4 linked regions of the Arabidopsis thaliana genome follow. The protein of the gene in region 3 interacts with the protein of the main gene of each other region in a pairwise test. Each region holds a gene or a part of one and is shown on either strand. Other genes may lie near its edges.

Region 1 (5,339 bases), on a different chromosome or scaffold from region 3:
ACAAAATCCATCACCCAATTAGGCCAATTGGACTCTACTCTTCCCAAATTATCTATAGAAGATGTTAATTAGTGTTAAAATCATTATTGATTGATTGTTGAGGATTAAAAAGAGTAGAGGTCTTTTTACATTAAAAATAAAGTAAAGGGGTTTCCGTGCAACAAAAGTATTACAAACCCATCACTTATTAGGTTTCCGTTTTCTCTTGGAAGTAGAAGACGACTAGACTATTCAGCGAAATCACAGGAATATGTATGATGTGATGTCGGATGAAGCGAACTTGTGGTTTCACGAAGACGAACCTCCTCTCCGTAAGCGGTAGATGGAAGAAGCTCCACCTTCACCTGTCAAAGACCTTTATTTCTCCGACGAAGAAGACATGAGTCCCGAGGAACTATTTGCCAAGTTATTCAAGAATAAAATATCTCTTCAAACCATGAAAATATTTATGCACACTTATATTCTTAAAAGTATTTTGCAATTTCTCCTCTTATCATTTTGCTACAAAATAACTTTGAACAAAAGAATGCATTCATATAGAAGAAAACGGATATAATTTTCACAAGAACTTTTTTCCGATATGCACACTAATTTATCATATACATGTTTGTAAATTTACTAAACTTGAAGAGAACTTCAATTTTGCTTTACCAATATTACGAGAGATAAATAAAACAGACACTTACAAAACTCACATCTTCAAAATATATACAGTTTTATTAGTGAAGGGGTCTCTCTTACGCCGTGGACAAAACCTCCAACTCTGCCCACCAAAGAGGTGACAATTTCGGTGTAGCATCGTTCGGTGACAATCCCGTGATCTCCCGTAACCATCCTGTGACTTCTTGCATTGTAGGTCTCTCTTTCGGGTCAGTCCTAAGGCATGATTTGATCACTTCACCTATATTCTCAATCTTGGCATCATAAGATTCCAGTGTTGGATCTACCATTTTGGCTAGAGTCTCTCCTCTTAAGAAATCAACCAGCGAGCTATCTACTGAGTCAGGTTTGTTAACGGATTCTATGAGTTTCCCGGTTATCATTTCGAATAACAGTAAACCAAAGCTGTAAATGTTGTCTTCTGGATTCAAGGCTGAGATGTGTGTGTCTATGACTGTGTTGTTGTTGATGTTAGTCTCTGTCTCAGATGAACCGAAACTGAAATCTGATACTTTGACAGCATAATCCTCTGTGAGCTGAAGAGATGATGAGACGAGATTGGTGTGAGCTATAGGTGGATTGAGTTGGTGCATATGGTCAAGGCAATATGCTAATCCCATTGCAATTCTTAACCGCATTCCCCAATCCAAGTGTTCTGATTCTTTATCTGTAACAAAAAAATGATTAGCTTCTCTTTAGATCACAAAGAAATGAAGCCAACATGGCTGATTGTGTGACAAAAGTACTCACAATGTAAATGCTCAAAGAGTGATCCATTTGGAGCATACTCAAAGATCAAGATCCTGGTGAAAGGTTCCTTTTCTTCACAATAACCAAGAAGGTTTGCAAAATTCTTGTGGTTGATCTTCGATAACATTTCGATCTGAAATCGTGAAAACAGAACGCGCTAAGTCGACTATATGTTGTTGTTATAAGAAAACAAAAATGGGGAAAACAATACCTTCTTCCTGAAGTGAATTTCTGTACTGTCCTTCCAGTCTTTGGCAGTAGTAGTAGCAAAAGAAGCAACAGCAATCTCCACTCCACTTGATAATGTTCCTTTGAACAACTTCCCAATGGGACAAGATCCAATGACATTACTAAAATCTTCACATGCAGCTTCAATCTCAGATCTTTTGAGTACAGGAATACCTGAGTATCAAAAACCACACATTGATGAAACCAAATGAGACAAATTTGGTTACTACTCCAAGTAAGTGCACTTGCCAAAACAATTCAAGAAAGGAAATTACCAGTAACGAATACTTTCTGAAGTTGTCCACTAAGACCAGTACGCCAAGGATTCACAGTTTTCCCGGCCTTACTTGTGAAAAAGTAGAGACCGGTAGCTACAAGGAGAAGAAAAAAAGCACCGCCTACGCAGCCAACAACTAAAGGAACAGAAGAATGAGAGTTTCTTGGAATGGGAGAGTTTGCAAGTGGCGCAGATGGAGAAGGTGAAACATCTTGTGTAGATGATCTCTTTTGTGGCTCTGAAACTGTTGAAGCTTTAGTTGAAACATGTTTTGGAGCAGGTTCTGGGGATGATGATGGTGTTGTAGTTGCAGCCACAACACGGTTTTTGCGGTCTTTTCTTGAAGGCAAGTCTTTGTAAGGGTTACGGACAAGTGTTTTCCTGTGAAATCCAAAAGCTTTCCTAAGAAAAGGTAGAAGAAGAAATTAAGCCATTGCACAACATGCTCTAAATATAGCAAGTTTAGAAGTGTCGGTTACAAGTAACAACAGTTTCTTCTACCATACATACATAGAGAGAATGAAGCTATGAAATGATTAGAGAAATTTGTAGATCTTGACTACATATATGTTGTTGTTATACCAAAAAATCTTTCAAAGTCAAGATAGATTGAGAGTAGAGAATAAAAAGTAGTAAAATCGAAACTTTAAGAGTTGTTCTTAGGAAACTGAGAAATTGAATCAGCACAAGTGACAAGAGTGTTTCTAATCTAAAGACCCAATAGAAATCTCAGAAACCTGAAGCTGCTACTTACAAATACGTGGAATCTTCATCTGACGATAGATCTTTCTTTAAACTATCTTCACTTTTGAGAAAATCTACAGCTGAAAACGTAAAAGCGAAACAGAGGATGTGAATCAGGGAACTGGATTCTGTTTCTACACTACCAAAGAGACAAAAACGAGTAAGTGAAACGGAAAAAAAGTCTCTACCTTGGTCCTTGAGAGAACAACACGAACCGAACCAGCTCAGAAGGAGCACAAAAGCCACAAAAGAACGCATTTTGAACAACATCGATCGAGTGAATCGAGAAGAACAATAACAACAACAACAACAACAGTAAGTGTTGTGAGCAGAAGATGATGAAATCGAGTTTACTATGGATTAGAATTAGAGATAAGAGATCAGAGAAGCAATCAGAAAAAGCGGAAGAAGCTGAAGACGAAAAGAGACTTATTAGCAGACGAGTTTTTGATTGAAGAAAGCGCGTCCGCCGTGTTTTGCCCGATTGAGGAAACTTGACTTTTAGGAGATTTTATTTTATTTTATTGGTCAAGAAGAACTAAATAAGTGTGCGTATTTTTCTCAACCAATCAACGTTTTTCTTTTTGTATTTTTATGAAAATTAAACTTTTCTGCAGAAACTTTTTATTTGTTTTTTCTCCAAGGATTATTGTCAAATACCAATATTGTACGATGTTCGAATCATACTTGACTTATTCCGAACCACGAATACTGTATCATTTTCTTTTCTTTACAAGTTATCCATTTAGATTGATCTTATTGCATCGTAATTTAAAGTGGTGAGGATTTTCTGTAACTAAAAAATATTATATATATATATAAACGTTAGGTGAAAAAAAAAAATGTGTAATACGGCTTAATATTAACTAATATACTATTATACCTGGTAAAATGTAGTTACAGAACTAAAAGGGGTTCAAAAGAAAAGGCTCAATTAGACAGCCAGCCAGCCATCCACCGTTGAAAAAGACTTGTGGCGTAGGGAATGGACGAATGGTTCCACCTTCTTGATTTTCTTGGTTATTTCTTACAATTTGTGTCGGTTATAAATAAAATTCAACGAGAGCCACGATAGATTTGGTGTGATGATATTTGAATGATTGAGGTTGAAGGAATGATTGTCATCTTAAGTAATGTGAGACTATTTCAAAGTGGAAGGTTGCTTAGCTGTTGCTTTCTTCGTCCCCAATTCTCTTCCCATGTGGGATCCTCGTGGTCTGGTCACTTGTCATCAACCAAACCCCTCTATGTTTTAGTTATCTTAATTCTAATTCACATTCTACTATTTTTATTTTGTCAACATTTCCATATTCTTTTGTTATAGGAACCAATGTGACAAAAACAAAATATCCTTGAGAATCTTTTTTTTTTTTTTTGGACAAAACCTTGAGAATCTAAGATATAAGAAACAATTTGTTTTGCTCAAAACAATATATGTTGTTGGCAAAAGAATTATTCTCGTTAACTTTAATATCTTATGTAGTCTTTAGTGACTCGGTTTCGTTCAATTCTTCTTATGGAACAAAATCAGAAAGTCAAAACAAAACCCCCTTAATGGGTTATATAGTACGCTGTGATATAATCTGGTTGCGTCATTGATAGTAGTGTACAAATTTACTTTGCTAGTATGTTTATGTCTCTCGTTCTGTCTATCTGAGCTCCGGTTTAGCGGGACGCCAAAATCCCTTCCGACCAACCAAAAACCGGTCCTCGTATATTTTGGTTGACCAATGAAGCGAACCAAGTATGGATTCAAGCTTCATTATTGTTTCCATGTTGTCTTGTACCACAAGATATCCACCTGGTCTCACTATCCGATCTATCTCAGCTACCACTTGTACAATCTCACACCTGAAATTGACCCAAAAAACACATATTAAAGGTTAACCACACTATTCGCAATATCAAACCGAGTTTGGTATGACAACTCCGACTTTGGTTAAGCTAACCGTGAACCGAACCAAAACAGTGAATGCCTACTGGCTACTGCTAAAGAACTGAAACTCTATAGATATACAAACTCAGATCTGTTGTTTACCTTTGTGTGAGATCACCTAGGAGGAAACTGGAATGTAACAGATCGTATGTTCTAGGGTAAGTGTTGACGGACTCACACCAATCATGGTAAACTCCGATCAAGCCTCGATCATAAACGACGGAGAGAGTGTCAGGTTTATCCACAGGGACAACATTCATCACCCAGAGTGGTAGATTTATAAGTGCAGCAGCAAAACTATACCAAAAAGAAGAAAAGAAGAAAAACTTGTGTCAAGTTTCAGTTTGGGATAAACCGGATTCTGGTTAAAGTTTCAGAGATTGTAAATGTACCCGCCAAAACCAGCATTCATGTCCATCACATTCCGCACAGTCGACCAGTTTACAGCTAGATGTTTGAGGTAAACATCAGAAACACTTGCTGACCATTTCTCTGTATCTTTCTTCAATGTTTCCGCTTTAACTGAAATGCTTTGCGGTTTAACACTCACAAGCCGTTTAGGCCATAGTTCAGGCCAACTCTGGACATTTCCACTAGGTAACTTGGAAAGGCATTTAGCGAGAGGAACATACCTAAAATTAATCAGAAGGAAATGTTACAAAAAATAGTGGACATTACTTATATGTGAATGTAAAGCATCATTTTGTGTAATAGTTTTTTTACCATGAACCATTTGCTTCCTTT
Region 2 (6,311 bases), about 17 Mb from region 3:
AAAGCTACGACAAGAGGAGGCAAAGAAGTCTACGTAAGCAGTCGCGTCACTGTAGTATTAGATCGGTATTTCCTTACAAAAGCTGTCCTTTTTTCACAATCGATCAATCATCATCATGAGGTCACGAACATGAAAACATTTTTAAAGTCACCAAACAAATCCAAAAAACTGTAGTAACAAATGGAGTAAATTATATATATATGCATGGCCAAATTTACGTTTCTTGGTACTAACAATATTTTGGCTATGTTTACGGGCAAAGGAGACGATTCTAGTTCTACACACATAATGACATAATACAATAGAACACCGAGAGAAAAAGAGTATATATAACTCAAATTCAACACTAAGCTGATTATATTCAGATAAAAATCTCTAAGCTAAATCATGTCTTTGAGGTACTACGAAAATTGGAAGCTAAGAGGGCTGTTGCTACGGTGGTTCAGTTCAAGATTTAATGGACCGTAACGTGAAGGTCTGTTTTTTCTTTGTATGCTCTTGTTTTTGTGTAATTCACAAGCTCCTTAAAAACTTCTGTAAACAACCTTTATTTTTTATCAATTTTTTTTTTCACATTTCATAAAAAAGGAACATCATCATAATCTTTAAATCTATCATATCTTCATATCATAATCCAAATTAATTATTCCTCTGATGAAATTTGATTTGCATCTCTAGATTCTGGTACAACCCACCGGTTTATATTTCTCAACGACGTAGATACCTACAAAAAAGTGGCAACAAACAGTATAAGCTGCAATCCAAGAACATAGCTTGCTTGAACAAACTAATTATTATTTTTGCTAAGGAACAAACTTATTATTTTGGAAGGAGAAACTACAATTTTTTTTCTTAAACAAATTAATTCAGGGAATATTATATAGTAATCAACTTCTGACCTGTTGATCCCAATCTGTTCTGAGAGTCATGACGGTGAGCACACAAGTCTGAACGAATATTCCAAAAAGCATTCCTATCCATACACCCTTCAAAATTAAAGAAGTAAAGTTTTATGTTAGTTTTATTACTTTTCAACATAAAAGAAAAATATATAAACTGAAAAACTTACTTTCACTTGCAAACCAACAACATAACCAAGGATAACACCAATAGGAATTCCGACAAGGTAATAGCAAGCAAGGTTAACGTAAGCCACATATCCTTGCCATCCCGCTCCGATTGCCACTCCTGTTAAGGTTTTAAACCAATTATAGATAAATACTACTCCAAATATTGGTTCGAATCCGATACTATAATAACCATTACGCGTCAACTAGCTAAAATATATACCAGAGAGAACAGGTTGAACACTGTTCAAGAGGATGGAAAATGCTAAAAGTGGAGAAAGATCAGCAACTTCGGCCGCGACAGCTTCACTTGTAGTGAAAATGTAGGAAATTCTTCCCCTCAAAAACAAAAAAACGAAGAATAGAACTATTCCTATAGAGAGTGACGTGAAAACCGCTATCAATGTTGCAAACTTGGCTCCTTTGGGGTTTCCACTACCGAGCTCGTTGGACACTCTTACACTATTTATATAGATAATTACAAATAAGATGATATATAAATAAAAGATCATACCAAGAAAAAAAGATAATATAGAAATAGTATCAATAAAGTGAAGTGTGTTGTATATAATCTATATATGTATCAATGCACCTTACTGCTGCCAAAAACCCAAGTGCTATCATCATCTCCAGTGCATTTATGCTGATGCTGCGAAGATAAATGGAAAAGATTAGTCGATTTATAATATATTATTTGTATGTACCATTACTCATACAATACTATAACTTATGAGTCAAGTTAGTACTAAAGAAAATGTATTTATGTTTCAATGTTTTGTATGGAGATCAGAATAGATATAGAAGGTCAATTCTTGTTTATTTACCAGATTGCTAGTGCATCAAGAGCCACCTCTGCGTTTTTCAAATTTCCAGTGAGCAATACCAATACCGAGTTGTACCATAACTCCAAGCTGTAAAAAATAACGACCACAAAGTAATCATCATCAATTTTTAAAAAGATAAGTAAATTAGAAAGAAAAAAAAAAACAAAAGAAAAAAGTAACTAGAACTATCATTAAATTATCAGTGAATATAATATACTCCTAAAAGTAATTCACCAAAAAAAAAATATACTCCTAAAAGTGTGTATAATATACTCCTAACATTCTCAGGAGTATATGCGTAAATGTAACAGTCGGATCAAATCCTACAAGATTGATAATTATATTATATAGTTTACAGCCTGAAAACTAATACATGGACTAAGTATATGCATCAAGTGGAACCAATCTCTTGTTTTGACCAACAATGACAATGAAAACTAAAGCTATCAGTATGAAAACATTTGGTTGATCCACTACTAGCTAATTCCTTAATTAAGTGTTCAAAACACAAAACAAAAATAGGAAACCTTACCAAAGCATTCCACCGGAAGACAAAGATAGTTTTAAGACGGGCCACAAATCTTTGAAGGCCAACATAGAGAATCCTCTCCATGTATCCTTACATCCACCACATGTTACATACAAGAGCTGCACAATGATAGGCAACCAGAACGCAATTAGCATAGAGGTCATCGCACCAGTGATCCCAAAATTGAAATGAGCCACTAGGAGCCACGAGAAGAAGACATGGAGCCCTAAGGAGACAGCAGTCACGTAGGAAATAATCTTGTTCTTGCTCTGAGCTTGGAGAAACATTTGGCAAGTGAAGGAGGGCACGAAGGAGAAGTTGATGCCTATGACCCATAGGGCTAAGACCCGAGCCACACGAACAATGCGTTCCTCTTGACCTAAAGCTAAGAGGATAGGGCCCGCAAAGATGAAGACGGGCATGAGGCAAATGGTACCACCTGTGAGGACGATCCATGACCTTTGGAGGTAGATCCCGAGCATCTGGTATTGTTTGGCTCCGTAGGCTTGACCACATAATGTTCCTAGTGCACCGGCCATACCTAACTGCAGTAGAACAATAGTTATAACCAAATTTGAGACAGCTGTAGTTTTGCATTGTGTAGTTTCAAAATAAATGTTAACCGGAATTACATATCCAAAAAATACTCCAAAACCATATAAACTTATACAAATTTTAATTGAGTTTGATAATAGTTTCTTCACACGACCACCTAATCTGTATTAAAAATTCAAATAAGTGAGACCAAATTTTATAATATAGTTTTGGTCTAACTTATTTTGAAAACGTTTCGGAAACGCAAAAATTATTACGGAAACGCGTTTCCTAAAAATCCATGTTTGGAAACACGATGAAAACTCGCGTTTTTGAAATAGACATACGACAAATATTTTTTATTGACTTTGAAAATTTAATAACTAAAATTGGAAATATTAAGATTATTAATACATATAACTAATTTTGGAAAACTCTTAGTTTTAAGATTTTTTTCTTGATAAACCAGATTTGAAGAGAGTTTTATATTATCTTTGATGAAACTAATGAAAATAAGAATAAAAATGTTGGTCTAAATTAGATATTAAAATTTGAATCTTTTAAATTTTAATCTTTATCTTTTAGAATTTTAGTTAGCTTATTTAATATTGATAGTTTAGACTTATATTGTTTAAATCATTTTTTATTTAATATAGTTTTATGTATATATATATATATATTTATATGTTTTTAAAACGTTTCTAATCTCTAATTTTAATAAAAAATTGATTCCCGTTTCTGAAACGTTTCGCATCCGCGTTTCTGTTTCCGTTTCCATGCAACTTAGTTATAGCATAAATTCACCTACATGTTTTTTTTTTTTAATTTTCACCTACATGGTCTGACCTTGTAATATAGTTATTTCTTAATCACTAATAATCAAGAGATTAGATTAAATAAAAATTGAAGTAGTACTCACCACCACGATACCATTACTGAAGCGGAGAAGAATCCATAGTAATCAAGGGATTCATTAGATTAAATAAAATTGGAAAAATTGATATAAATGAAGCTACGTATACCATTACCAAGATCGCTATAGTAAACTCACCAAGATACCATTACTGAAACGGAGGAGAATGGTGAAGGTGATAGAGTAAGCGGCCAACTCGGTTGGGCCAAGATGGCCAATGAAAGCTTGAGTTACCATTGAAACTCCGAACGTAGAGTATCTTGTGAAGATCGCTGGCGCCGCCACAACCCACAGTTTCTTTGATTCAATCCAAACCTTCTCCTTCATCCCCAACTCATCCTCTTCTTCTCTGCCGGTCTTTTTCACCAGAGCCTCCGTGAGCTCTCCTCCTCTTCCGGCCATCGTGGAGTCTATGTGTTTTTATCTGATAGGAGGAAATAAATAGAAGAAAGAGAGAGCAGAGAGTTTGAGTTTAAGAAGCAATTTTTTTTATATTTCAGCTGGGAAACAAAAGGTCGTCAACGCCTTTTGTAGCAGTGAGTGACTAAGTGATGAAAATACTCTAAGAAATAGATGCATTTTAAGATCACCTAAGATCGTGCATTCATCGATCATTTGTTTAAATGCAATTATCTATAATTCATATCTAAACTTTATCTTTATATATGCTTAAAAAGTGTGTGTTTGGAAAGTATATTGGAATAAAACAAAATATTTTTATCAAAAATATAATTATTCATATACATATTTCTTGGTCGTGAGTCTCGTGTCTATGTGTTGCATAATAAACCCATTTAAAAAAAATAAAAATATAAAAAAAAAATCAAGAAACGAGCATATCAAACTACAATAGTCAAATTCTTGTTCTAAGCAACGTAAGCAATTACAATTTTTAGTGAATTAAGATTGTCGTATATATTTATTATGAGGATTTCCAGAATCAAACGTTTATTTTTCTTTGTCAAAATGAATCAATCAATTTAACGTTTTAGCCACGAAGATCTTTTAAAAATAATTACCAATATAATTTCTTTAAACATGTTTGTACTTTTCCTATGATAAACGAAGAAATTTCATTTTTTTTAAATGGTAATCAGTTTATAAAACATGATTATTTTAATCTCTTTTAGTGTCATCATAGTAGTAAGCACACAAATTTCCCCAAAATTCCAAAGGTACTCTCTTCTTTTTATTGGTCATACCCTAATTCGCACTATTTCAATAACTAGTATATCTCAAAATTCTACCAAAGTTTAATTTTACTATGAGTTAACATGTTGGTGAAATTAAAGAACTAAAAGGGATTTTATCTTTTAAATAGCTCATTAATAAATTTTAGTTATCCTCTTCTTTGATTATAATAAATTATATAGATTGTACTCTCTTTTTTCATTGTACCACAACAACAACAACAACAACAAAAAGCCTAATAAATTACCATCAAAATTTATTTCATATTGAAAATCTGAGTTAGAAAGAACTATTGCCCAAAATAACATCATAATTATATAATATCTTTGTTCATATCATAATCCAAACGAATTATTCCTCTGATGAAATTTGATTTGCATCTCTAGATTCTGGTACAACCCACCGGTTTATATTTTTCAACGACGTAGATACCTACAGAAAAAAGTGGCAACAAACAATATAATTAAGCTCCAAACCAATAACATAGCTTGCTTGAACAAACTAATTATTTTGGAAGGGGAAACTACAATTTTGTTTATTTAAACCTGTTGATCCCAATCTGTTCTGAGAGTCATGATGGTAAGCACACAAGTCTGAACAAATATTCCAAAAAGCATTCCTATCCATACACCCTTCAAAAAAAGATAAGTAAAGTTTTATGTTGTTTTCAATTGTTAATTTTATTACTTTTGTTCATTATGAAGAAAAAATATATAAAGAGAAAAACTTACTTTGACTTGCAAACCAACAACGTAACCAAGGACAAGACCAACAGGAATTCCGAGAAGGTAATAGCAAGCAAGGTTAATGTAAGCCACATATCCTTGCCATCCCGCTCCCACTGCCACTCCTGATAAGGTTTGAAACCAATTAAAGGCATATACTACGTTTCAAATATCAGTTCGAATTCGATACGATGATAACCATCACGCTTGAACTAGCTAATGTATATACCTGAGAGAACGGGTTGAACACTGTTCAAGAGGATGGAAAATGCTAAAAGTGGAGAAAGATCAGCGACTTCGGCTGCCACAGCTTCACTTGTAGTGAAAATGTACGAAATTCTTCCCCTTAGAAACAAGAAGACGAAGAATAGAACTAATCCTATAGAGAGTGACGTGAAAACCGCTACGATTGTTGCAAATTTGGCGCCTTCGGGGTTTCCCCTACCGAGCTCGTTGGACACTCTTACACTATATATAGAGATAATTACATAGAAGAGTGATATATAAATAATATTAAGATCATACCAA
Region 3 (4,076 bases):
AATTTACGTTGAGGTTGTTGCGATTTCTACTTTAAGCAAACGGGAAACATCTCACAGTTTTGACTTGTGATCTTTTATCCTACTCTTATTGGTTCTAAAGTGCATACACGTAAGCGTATACATAAGCACTCGCATTTCACAGTAGCCAATCGATTGATTCTAATCTTTGAACATGTAATACACTTCATGGCCACTCTTTTTTTCCGGGAACTATCTTTTTTTTTTGACATGGAAAAAGACCATTTTTTGATTTATAACGTGCATACTGCTGTGTCTTTTTTCTAAATAAATAGTTTTTATCAAATATGTAATCATACTAGGGAAAATCTCATCAAGATCATACGTATTTTTGTACATGACTTTTAAATAGTATATTCGCCGAAAAATACGTTGATGTCTCGGAATTTGACGCCTCAAAAACATTAGAATATACAAAATCAAGTAACGAGTTTGTAGGTTGAAACTAAAATGCCACGTAATACAGTGCGTAGGGTCCATTCGATGTTTCTAGATCAAAGTCTACACACTATAGAGACTTCCAGATACAGATACACATTCGAAATCATCAATGAAAAATAACAATTTAAGTATCTTCTTATCCTAATGTGTGTGTGCTTTTTTTTAGTCAACTATTTTGTGTATATTGTAAGATGTATCATGTTATGACATGAGTATGTTGCTACGTGTCGTGAGATATCGAACCCAACGCAGATATGAGTATGTTGAGCTAGTTTCTTCTTATGAAACAATCATATATGTCTATAATGAATAGATCACATTATCTGCCTGAAAAAAATCCCGTATATTACTCGACGAAATATAAATACCCAATGTAGCTGATTTTGCTTTCTCTGGTGACATATCCAATTTGGCTAAATTTGTTAACTAGTCTATTATAGGTTTATAATAGATCTAGCTATGTTAAAGATACTAAAGCATCAGTTACATAAATTTTTGGCGCGAGTTTATATCTTTTGGAATTAAAAATAAGAGAATTTAAAAATAAGAAGATCATTTTGTTTGGCCACAGGAGTTCTGAAAGGTCAGGTATGATTTTTTTCTTGCTCGCTCTTATGATTTTGTTTTTATTAATGGGTTTTCAAATAAGAAAAACTGTTTTTCGAAGCCCGGTTCAGATCCATTGTTTTTTGTAAAATATAGGCCCAATTCACCATAAGTCCATGACCAAAACAAAAATAAGATAGAACCAATACTGAACCAGGATCTTCTCTCGCTTTCGTGATCAATGTCGCCAAGCTTCTCGAGATCATGTGGTCACGTCAATTGTATAAATACAATTATTGACGTAACACAATCTCTACAGTTCCATCGAAATATCTCGAAAATTTCCAGTTAATTCTGGTAACGTGAACGTATCTTCCACCTCTTCAACCTACACAGCTTTCTAGAAATTTGGCTCGCTTTTCTAAGTCCTCTGTATTTTTTTGCACGTTTTTCAACTAAGTTTCAATATGAATCATTTCTTCTATAAATAAATGATATTTTCATCAGGTAATGATACATTGTGCCGAAATAAAACGTCAATACTCATTAGTCAAATTAATTGTTCACATAATTTAAAACTGTGTTAATCCATCCAGTTATTTTCTTACAACAAAATAATCTTTTCCATCAACTTTTAAAATAATTAAACGCAGTGCTAAGAAATCTAAAATCTTGATTTAGAAATCCATTATGGTTTCTGGTCAACTGAAATCCATAATTTCCTTTAACATCCAAAATCCAAATTTGCTACTATGATAATAGATTTCAGACGATTTTTTTTCTTTTTTCAATCATAGAGTCCACACGAATATTTGCAAGTTACTATATAAAACACTATAATGGTCAACAGATAAAAAAAAGGCGAATGAAGATATGTTACGTAAAAAGAAAATACTGTAATTATAAATTATTACTTTAAAAAGCTTTAAAATCTGGCCACATGTTTTTAAAGAGTGGTGTGACGTAACGACTAGAGTCAGCACAATCCATTATTGTATCATAAATATTCTCATCTATAAATTACCTAAACCCTTACAGGTAGTGTCCCAACCAAACAAATCGAGAAAGACGAACACTTACAAAAAAAAATCTCTTTGTGAGCTTTAGCGATCGTAACAATGGCGAACGAGGTGATTCTTCTTGATTTCTGGCCGAGTATGTTCGGGATGAGGACAAGGATCGCATTGAGGGAGAAAGGTGTTGAATTTGAGTACAGAGAAGAAGATCTAAGGAACAAGAGTCCTTTGCTTCTCCAGATGAATCCGATTCACAAGAAGATTCCTGTTCTCATCCACAATGGTAAACCGGTTAACGAATCTATCATCCAGGTTCAGTACATTGACGAGGTCTGGTCTCACAAGAACCCTATCCTTCCTTCTGATCCTTACCTGAGAGCTCAAGCTAGGTTCTGGGCTGATTTCATTGACAAGAAGGTATCTTATTTCCTTTGTGCCCTTGATTGAATAATGTTGAAATTGAACTTGGGATTTCATAAAAATTGAAACTTTAGTTGAGTTTGCTAGTGATTGGCTCAAATTTAGGGTTTTGCTTGTAGACTCGTCTTTGAGCTTGTATGGGTTTGTCTGATGTTATAATATTACTTGAGTTTGTAGTTGTTAGGGTTAGAGATCTCACCTCCAAATTTCAGATTTTTCTTGTGGACTCATCTCTGAGCTAGTCAGGGTTTGTCTTCTTAGATAGTTTAATGTTATGTTACTTGTGCAATTTGAGGTTTTTACATACTAGTTTCGCTAGTAGATATCATCTTTGAGCTTTGTTTGGGTTCATCTTAGATAGTTTGATGATATGTTTCTTTTGCAATTTGGGGGTCTCTAGGACTGGTTTTGCTTTGTAGACATCATCTTTGAGCTTTGTTTGGGTTCGACTGAGTTCTGACATAGCTTGGTGTTATGTTACTCTGTGCAATGTTTCAGCTGTATGATGCTCAGAGGAAGGTGTGGGCGACAAAGGGTGAGGAACAAGAGGCAGGGAAGAAGGATTTCATTGAGATACTCAAGACTCTTGAATCTGAGCTTGGAGACAAACCTTACTTTAGTGGCGATGACTTTGGCTATGTAGACATTGCGTTGATTGGATTCTACACATGGTTTCCAGCATACGAGAAGTTTGCTAACTTCAGTATCGAATCTGAGGTTCCGAAACTGATTGCTTGGGTTAAGAAGTGTTTGCAGAGGGAGAGCGTGGCTAAGTCCTTGCCTGATCCTGAGAAGGTTACTGAATTCGTCTCTGAGCTCAGGAAGAAATTTGTACCTGAGTAAATATGTTTCTCTTGTCATATGGTTCGGACTTAAGATGCTCTCTGTTTTACTTTCGTGTGTTGTCTTTCTTAAATAATGCAGAGCATCTGTGAGGTGGTTTGAGTGTAGAGAATGTATGTCTTTGCTGTAGCAGATTCCTGTGTTTTCTGGATTTAATGGCTTGTCCTAGTTTTTATGCATTGTAACTATGAGTTTAATTAATGATCGTTAATCTATAATGATTATTAATTTGTTACTTTGATATGTAATTACGCCAATACGACTCTTCTACCTGACCAAGCTTATCACGCCAATGTTGCTGTAAAAGACAATAGTGCAGTTTGGCGATTAAAACCTCCAACATCGAGAATGGTAAGCCGGTCTGGATCTAATAAGCCCAAATTGGCATCCATAAGCCCAAATTGAAATTGGCATCCATAACTCCATATTGTAGTCAATTGGAAGTTATGTGGTTGATGTGATCATTAGTGTCGGTATGATCAGATTAGCCACGGGTTTAGTGTTTCTTGCCGAATTTGAATTCGGTAGATCAAATAACATTACTATGATCCGCACAGTTCATGGGATTTGAATTTGATTTACGATTACAACAACGATATTAACACAGAACTATCCTGTAATTTTTGGGATCGATTAGTAAATTTTAAAATATTATTTCAAAGGCTTTATATATATAAAGAATTTAGAGTATAAACATAGATAAAGCATTATGTATTTATAAATCTTATGCTGATATTGAAAAAATAATGGTGTATGTGATATATTTAATAGAGTGCAATACTCTCTCAATAA
Region 4 (6,460 bases), on a different chromosome or scaffold from region 3:
GATGGAAATACAGTTTTTTAAAGAGAAGAAACGTTTTCACTCGTCGTCAACTTCATTGATATGGCTTCAGCAGCTGAGTGAAGTGTACGAATACGGTCAATCAAGTTAGCTTTCCTCACATTCAAGGCCAAACAAAACTCGATAGGAAGAATGTAAACAGACACCACTAACAACTGGGAATGTGATGAACTAATTAAAAGGATACAAATCTAACAACAAACCGATACTTTGGAGTGTTGTATTTGTTCTTGTCTTGATTAATAAGACGGATTCTGGCACGATTATCAGTCTTGCCATCTATATTAAGAAAACACGAGAACTGTCACAACAAAATGTTAGCTTTTGATTAAACAAAAAATAAATGTTTCTATCTGTGTAGAATGATTACCTCTTCTTCTCCTGGATTTGACCTGACCCCTGAGTCAAGGATGACGATTGCTTTTTCACTAAACCCTAAGTATGCCACTTTAAGGCCTTCTGTTATTGGGCCTAAAGCCCAAAGTTATTAGGGGAGAAATTGCTGTAATAATTTTACGTGTAACCTATAACTTTTGACCCAATTTAGCTAGTTCTAAATTTGCAAAACAAATCTCAGCATCCGAACGAAAAGAAAACAGTTTTTTTTTATTACACTTTTTCTGTTGCCGATGTTAACGGTTCCAAGAGACGAACAAAAGTAATTCTTGGCAATTATAAGAAAAATAGAAAACAATTTTCAGAGTCTTTACGCTTCGGAGACATCAACGTTGTTCAAAGCTTCTTCTGGTGACGATGATGCATCTTGGAGACTTTCAGAAGTTTCATCAGAGGGTTTCGATTCATGCTTAGCAGCAGCTTGCAAAACCCGGCTTCGAACATCTGAAGAAGAAGGCGAAGTTGGGAGGCCAACACCATTTGTTTCTAGTTTTCCTGCAGCCCACGAGAAAGCCTGAGCTCCGAGTTTCACAGGTGCAAGCAACAGCCTTGAAGAAGAAGATGAAACAATCTTTGTTAAGACAGAACAGAGGTTTCGCTGAGTTTTTGCTATGGAAAAAGGGTCTAATGATGGCGCTTTTATACCTGACGTCTTGTTTGAAGTCTTCGGAGTCATCATATGAAGAAAGTCGTAGGTATATAGTCTGCATAATGTTTGAAACTTGAAAAACAAAACAAAGCAACTATAATTTGACAAAACTTAGAAACTGGAAAGGCTAGTATATACCAGACTAAGGCCGATGACAGCTATGAGTTGCAGTGTTTTCTCCCACTCTGCGAGAGATAGAGCAATCATGTTAGTGCAAAACGTGGATGTGAGGAGCTTGTGTGTTGTGGAGAATATGAGATATTCTAAAGGGGAAATGAGAAAGAATTAAACGCACCAGACAAAGCATACAATGCTGCGAAAAAACCCTGCATATATCTTCTTATATTAGTCAGGATGGGATTATTATTAAACGGAAATAGAAAAATAGAACTAGAAGCATACCACACCAACTCCAAATAGTTGCAATGGAGAGGGATTTATGTCCTCAAAAATCGCCTCAGCTTCCTGAAAAGCATTTAAGATATGTTTAACTTACTGATGAAAAGATTTGAGAGCAGTTTCAATTTCATCTAGCTGAAGAAACAGTCCAAACATATTTGTATTCATATGGTATTACCTCGTTGAGGATGGTAAGTGTTGTCTCAGGTTTTGGCTCTTTCACACGAAGACCTTCCTGTACCCATGATCTATACCCACCTTGCATCAAGTATGGCCTCTGTCACATCATAGGCAACCAAAGAAGAGCTTATTCGAAAATGTTTAAAGGTAACTTATTGTGTTCAAAGTGAATTATGCCTGAATGACTTGCCTTAATCCCAACTTTTCTCAGGGCTCTTGCAATACCCTTTGAACGAGTTCCATCAGCATCCATAACAACAACCTTGGACCTGTCCTATTAGTGGGAGAGTAAGCAAAATTATGAGATGTCAGCATACTTAGAAACTGAAACAGCTCGAGCCACAAAACCATAGTAAGTTACAAAAGAAGCATGAAGGTAGCACACCTGAACTATTTTCAAGTTCTTGATGATTACTGCTGTCAAGATATCATCTACTTCACTTCCACCTTTCAGTAGCCGTTTGACATCACCGTCAACCTTAAACATGAATCAAGAACAAGAACCCATAAAAAATGTGAATAAAGAAAAGTCTGATATCCTACTTCTGTTGCACTGATTGCTGAAACCTCGTTGTGTTCATAGATTACATGTGTAGAGTTTCTATATTCGCTGTGGTCAACAACAATGAGGATGCTAAAACCAACCTCAGGCAGTGTCACGCTAGAATATCGAAATCGAGCTGATCTCCGCAGATCAGGTATTCCATCTTTCTCTCTCAAGGCCTTCAAAAAGACAGTAGCCAAAATGAGCATTTTTATTTCAACCCAAACTCCTTGATGAACATTATGTGAAAGAAATAATCAAATTGTGGTGGGTTTTGAAAAGTTATATATCATGAAATGGGAACTTGTTAGAAACTTAAGAGCGTCTTACTTCAGGCCTGACATCTATGAGCACTGACTTGTCTCTTGATTTTAAAAGGTCCAGAGTTGACTTGGGAGACAAATCTCCAGCATATCCACCATATGTCCAAACCCGATATAGAACCCTGCAAATATCTGGTGGAAAATATAAATTCTTCTATACTACATTGTCCTCTCAAGAAAAGCAAGTTTAATATCCTTCTAGGGTAAGAAAAGCCGTGTACCAAAAGGTTCCTGTGGTGCCTACGAAGAGAAAAAGGTGAAGGATTGGGTCATCTGGATCCAAACCGATATTTCTCTCCAAACCTCCAATGGCAACAGATACCTGTTCATCATGATACTGTTAGCAACTGTAGTCCATAAAGAATTAATTTTCTTCTACGAAAATATGAATGAACCTTCAGTATATAAGACAAAGCACCTGCTGCAATACAGCTCCCACGGGACTCAATACTTTTAGAGCAACATCTTCTGACGAGTTAAGGGCACTCTTTACATCTGGAGGAAGTAATTCTTTTGCTGATCCATAAGAGTACACAACAAAAGAAACTCCATTTGTTACAGATCTCTCTCCAAGACTAACTGATTGCCTCAGCAGATCAATGGCAATAACAGCTGCTCTGTTTGAAGCTTCCTTCAAGCCAGTAGAAAAACTCGAAAACTTGTCTCCAGCTACATCTCCCGTTTGGTCTAGCGTAGAAAACGCTCTGTTAACTGCACTATCTACAACTTCAGAAGCATTCTTTGTAATGGATGTCACAGACGAGGAGAAGGACTCCAAAGTGTTCTTTACAGCATTTTCTCCTTGGTTAAGTGAAGAGCTGAAGGACTCCTTGACCCCAGAAGAAAAGTCATCAACGCTAGCTTTCGCATCAGGAAGTGAAGAGCTGAAGGACTGCTTGAGCCCAGAAGAAAAGTCATCAAAGCTAGCTTTCGCATCAGGAAGTGAGACTGAACTATCCGGAGATATTTTAACAGTCGCATTGGTTCCCGATTCAACAGAGTCTATAAGGCTACTGGTCTTATCGGTTAAAGTCTCAGCAGAAAGGCATTCAATGGGGGAAACATCTGGTACAACAGCTTCAACAGGAGAAACATCTGCTGCAACAGCTTCAACAGGGAACACATCTTCTCCATTTTCTACATATGTCAGTCCCTCATCACTCGCTACAAAAGCTTCACTCATGTTATAAACCATGTAGTTTATTCTGTCCAACTCATTCTGGCACAAACTTCCGAATGTTGATACTGGTTGTTCTGTTTTTTCGATAGTACCGGTCAAGAAACTCCCAGTGGCTTGAGGTACGAAACTCTTCTGCAGGCGTGTTCCATTAGAGATACCAAAGAAGGCATTGTCACCTGAACTGTATCTGTGAATCAACTCTCTCCTGAAGGAAGAACAGCCTCGCCAATTGCCAGGAAATAAAATCTGCAGAAACAAACCCGTTATGAGGTACTTACTTATCTATGAAAATGAATCCAAAAACCCAAAGCACTAACAAAGCGTAACACCCATAGCTCAAATTGGATGACTTCAATAAATTTGCTACCAGTTAGCTTATTTACTTTCACTTCTATAAAGAAAATCTAACCTGAGAATGGTAACGGCAGCTTGTGGCCGAGCACAGGGGAAACATGTTGGTCAGTCTTGGATTCTTACAGCAATCTCATAGCTTTCACAACATACCAGAAAAGGAACAAAAAAATACAATTTCAAAGAGAAAATGACGATCCAGTAAATCTGAACCGGAATAAAGAACGTCCTAATGAGAACAAAACAAAAATCACAGACCAAGAAGAAACAGTGTCTCAACAAGAAGAAGATTCAGACAAAAAAGACTCCAGCAGCAGATTTACAATAATGGGTGTCGTCTGAAACCTGCAACAAGAATACCCATTATTCAATTACTGAGTCTGAGCATGTTTGGAACCTTGAACAACAGAAGCAGTTCAAAGAGAGATCAAATGCAGTAACTTTAATAACCTATCAGGGTCAAGGTCGATGATGATGAAGTTTCATGAGAAGAGTGGACTGAGCTTGATGAAATATGTTAATGGCGACTCGATTGAAAAAAGATAGAGGCGCGTGGATTCGATAGAGATTGTGTCTCAATTTGGATTGGGTGGAGCAAGATAAGCAAAGCGAATCGTGTGGCTTGTCCAAAGCCGTTAATTCATCATCTCTATACTTTATTTTGTCTTTTCTTTTGATTGGGTCTATTCGTTACATTTTAAAACTAATTGGACCAATTTTCAAGTTATCAATAATTTCTTCTCTTTTTTCATAAATCAATTAAACAGATTCACACGTGTCGTACTATGATTGTTTTTGTACTGTGTGTTGGGTAACAGCAGATTTACTCTTCTTCCTCTTCGTTTGTTCGTCTACGAACGACTTGGTAAATTTTGCATCTGATCATCTCTACAACTTCAAGGTGAGTTCCTTCTCTTATGACTTATGATTCGATTCGGGTTCTCTGAAGAATTTATCTTTCTGCTTTCTCGGAATTTGAATTATCGATTTGCGTCTTTAATTTTGCTATTCTCGGAAAAAGTCTCAGATCTCTGGTACTCGTTTTTTTTATTACTTCTATCGAAATTTGTGAGAAAATTCTGATCTTTTGTCTCAGTTATATCGGAGATTATTGTTAGGAAGATGATCTCTCTGTTTTGATTTTAATTGGCGTTGATGAATCGTTTTAAGTATAGAACTAACTATGCTACATTTTTTGGATTCCATTGCTTTTTATTTCTCTGATGGAAGTTCCTTATTTCGTTGACTTTTTGCTAGATTTTTGGTTCCACATTGATATCTTGGTCCCTGAAGCTGTCAAAGAGGGCACCTGGTCCGCTTGGTCCTGAGCTCAGATGGATCTGCATCCACCAGGTTAGTTTCTTTTTGAAGATTCAAGTGTTTTTTTTTTTCACTCTAGCTGTTTTCATCATTTGGTTGGCTAATTTTCTTATCTTCTTGGTGTAGGTGGTTCAAAAAAGACATCTGTAGTTGTTGTCACCTTAGACACTGGTGAAGTCTATGTCATTGCAAGTTTGTTATCTAAGGCTGATACTCAAGTTATCTATATCGATCCTACGACTGGTATCCTGCGGTACAATGGGAAGCCTGGCCTTGATAATTTTAAGTCAGAGCGTGAAGCCTTAGATTATATTACGAATGGATCAAGAGGAGGTGTTAGAAGCTCTGTTTATGCCAGGGCAATACTCGGTTATGCTGTCTTGGGGAGCTTTGGGATGCTTTTAGTTGCGACCAGGCTAAATCCAAGTATTCCAGATTTGCCTGGTGGTGGATGTGTATATACAGTGGCTGAGAGTCAATGGGTCAAAATACCACTCTACAATCCACAGCCTCAAGGGAAAGGTGAAACCAAGAATATTCAGGAGTTGACTGAGCTTGACATCGACGGGAAGCACTATTTCTGTGATACTAGAGACATCACTCGGCCCTTCCCAAGCCGTATGCCACTTCAAAGCCCTGATGATGAATTTGTTTGGAATAGATGGTTGTCCGTGCCTTTTAAGAATATTGGGCTACCTGAACACTGTGTCATTCTTCTGCAGGTTCGTCCTCCATTAATGAATTGATGAAGGTTGATCTACCTATCCGATTTCGGTTTTGTGTGAAGATTCAAAAGCATATAAATTGATATGACATCATCTTCTTATTTGATGTTAATTATAGGGGTTTGCAGAATATCGACCTTTTGGGAGCTCAGGCCAGCTAGAAGGGATTGTTGCTCTAATGGCCCGTCGTAGCAGACTGCATCCAGGGACTCGTTACCTAGCTAGGGGCATTAATTCATGTTCTGGCACAGGTGACATGCCCCCCTAAAATGCTCCTCTCTCTTAATTTCTTTGTTGTTCTCTTAAAAAGTGTGGCTCTGGATTGACTAGGGCCTAATTTAGAAGTATATGTGTAGTGCAGGTAACGAAGTTGAG

The links.
Region 1: the proteins of GSTU19 (region 3) and AT2G40270 interact in a protein complementation assay, tested with the Arabidopsis thaliana proteins (one large-scale study listed by BioGRID).
Region 2: the proteins of GSTU19 (region 3) and AT1G33100 interact in a protein complementation assay, tested with the Arabidopsis thaliana proteins (one large-scale study listed by BioGRID).
Region 4: the proteins of GSTU19 (region 3) and AT3G59780 interact in a protein complementation assay, tested with the Arabidopsis thaliana proteins (one large-scale study listed by BioGRID).

What each region holds. Positions count from the first base shown.
Region 1 is NC_003071.7:16,821,399-16,826,737, forward strand, and holds AT2G40270 (Protein kinase family protein), read right to left. Parts: upstream 3,763-5,339; 5' UTR 2,930-3,762; coding exon 2,848-2,929; intron 2,740-2,847; coding exon 2,670-2,739; intron 2,318-2,669; coding exon 1,914-2,317; intron 1,813-1,913; coding exon 1,622-1,812; intron 1,544-1,621; coding exon 1,411-1,543; intron 1,328-1,410; coding exon 738-1,327; 3' UTR 536-737; downstream 1-535. Other genes in the region: AT2G40280 (S-adenosyl-L-methionine-dependent methyltransferases superfamily protein), read right to left, coding at 4,309-4,510, 4,698-4,892, 4,988-5,227, 5,319-5,339.
Region 2 is NC_003070.9:11,995,641-12,001,951, reverse strand, and holds AT1G33100 (MATE efflux family protein), read right to left. Parts: upstream 4,453-6,311; 5' UTR 4,270-4,452; coding exon 4,006-4,269; intron 2,966-4,005; coding exon 2,424-2,965; intron 1,979-2,423; coding exon 1,892-1,978; intron 1,717-1,891; coding exon 1,660-1,716; intron 1,530-1,659; coding exon 1,291-1,529; intron 1,189-1,290; coding exon 1,070-1,188; intron 987-1,069; coding exon 900-986; intron 725-899; coding exon 644-724; 3' UTR 531-643; downstream 1-530. Other genes in the region: AT1G33090 (MATE efflux family protein), read right to left, coding at 5,410-5,490, 5,604-5,690, 5,790-5,908, 6,013-6,251.
Region 3 is NC_003070.9:29,485,867-29,489,942, reverse strand, and holds GSTU19 (glutathione S-transferase TAU 19), read left to right. Parts: upstream 1-1,935; 5' UTR 1,936-2,123; coding exon 2,124-2,438; intron 2,439-2,939; coding exon 2,940-3,284; 3' UTR 3,285-3,556; downstream 3,557-4,076. UniProt on the Arabidopsis thaliana protein: Catalyzes the glutathionylation of 12-oxophytodienoate (OPDA). In vitro, possesses glutathione S-transferase activity toward 1-chloro-2,4-dinitrobenzene (CDNB) and benzyl isothiocyanate (BITC), and glutathione peroxidase activity toward cumene hydroperoxide.
Region 4 is NC_003074.8:22,084,589-22,091,048, reverse strand, and holds AT3G59780 (Rhodanese/Cell cycle control phosphatase superfamily protein), read right to left. Parts: upstream 4,717-6,460; 5' UTR 4,491-4,716; intron 4,386-4,490; 5' UTR 4,144-4,385; coding exon 4,099-4,143; intron 3,936-4,098; coding exon 2,928-3,935; intron 2,832-2,927; coding exon 2,731-2,831; intron 2,632-2,730; coding exon 2,517-2,631; intron 2,366-2,516; coding exon 2,288-2,365; intron 2,121-2,287; coding exon 2,028-2,120; intron 1,917-2,027; coding exon 1,833-1,916; intron 1,740-1,832; coding exon 1,641-1,739; intron 1,529-1,640; coding exon 1,466-1,528; intron 1,390-1,465; coding exon 1,359-1,389; intron 1,249-1,358; coding exon 1,202-1,248; intron 1,119-1,201; coding exon 1,060-1,118; intron 963-1,059; coding exon 725-962; 3' UTR 520-724; downstream 1-519. Other genes in the region: SAC9 (sacI homology domain-containing protein / WW domain-containing protein), read left to right, coding at 5,375-5,393, 5,487-6,082, 6,204-6,336, 6,447-6,460.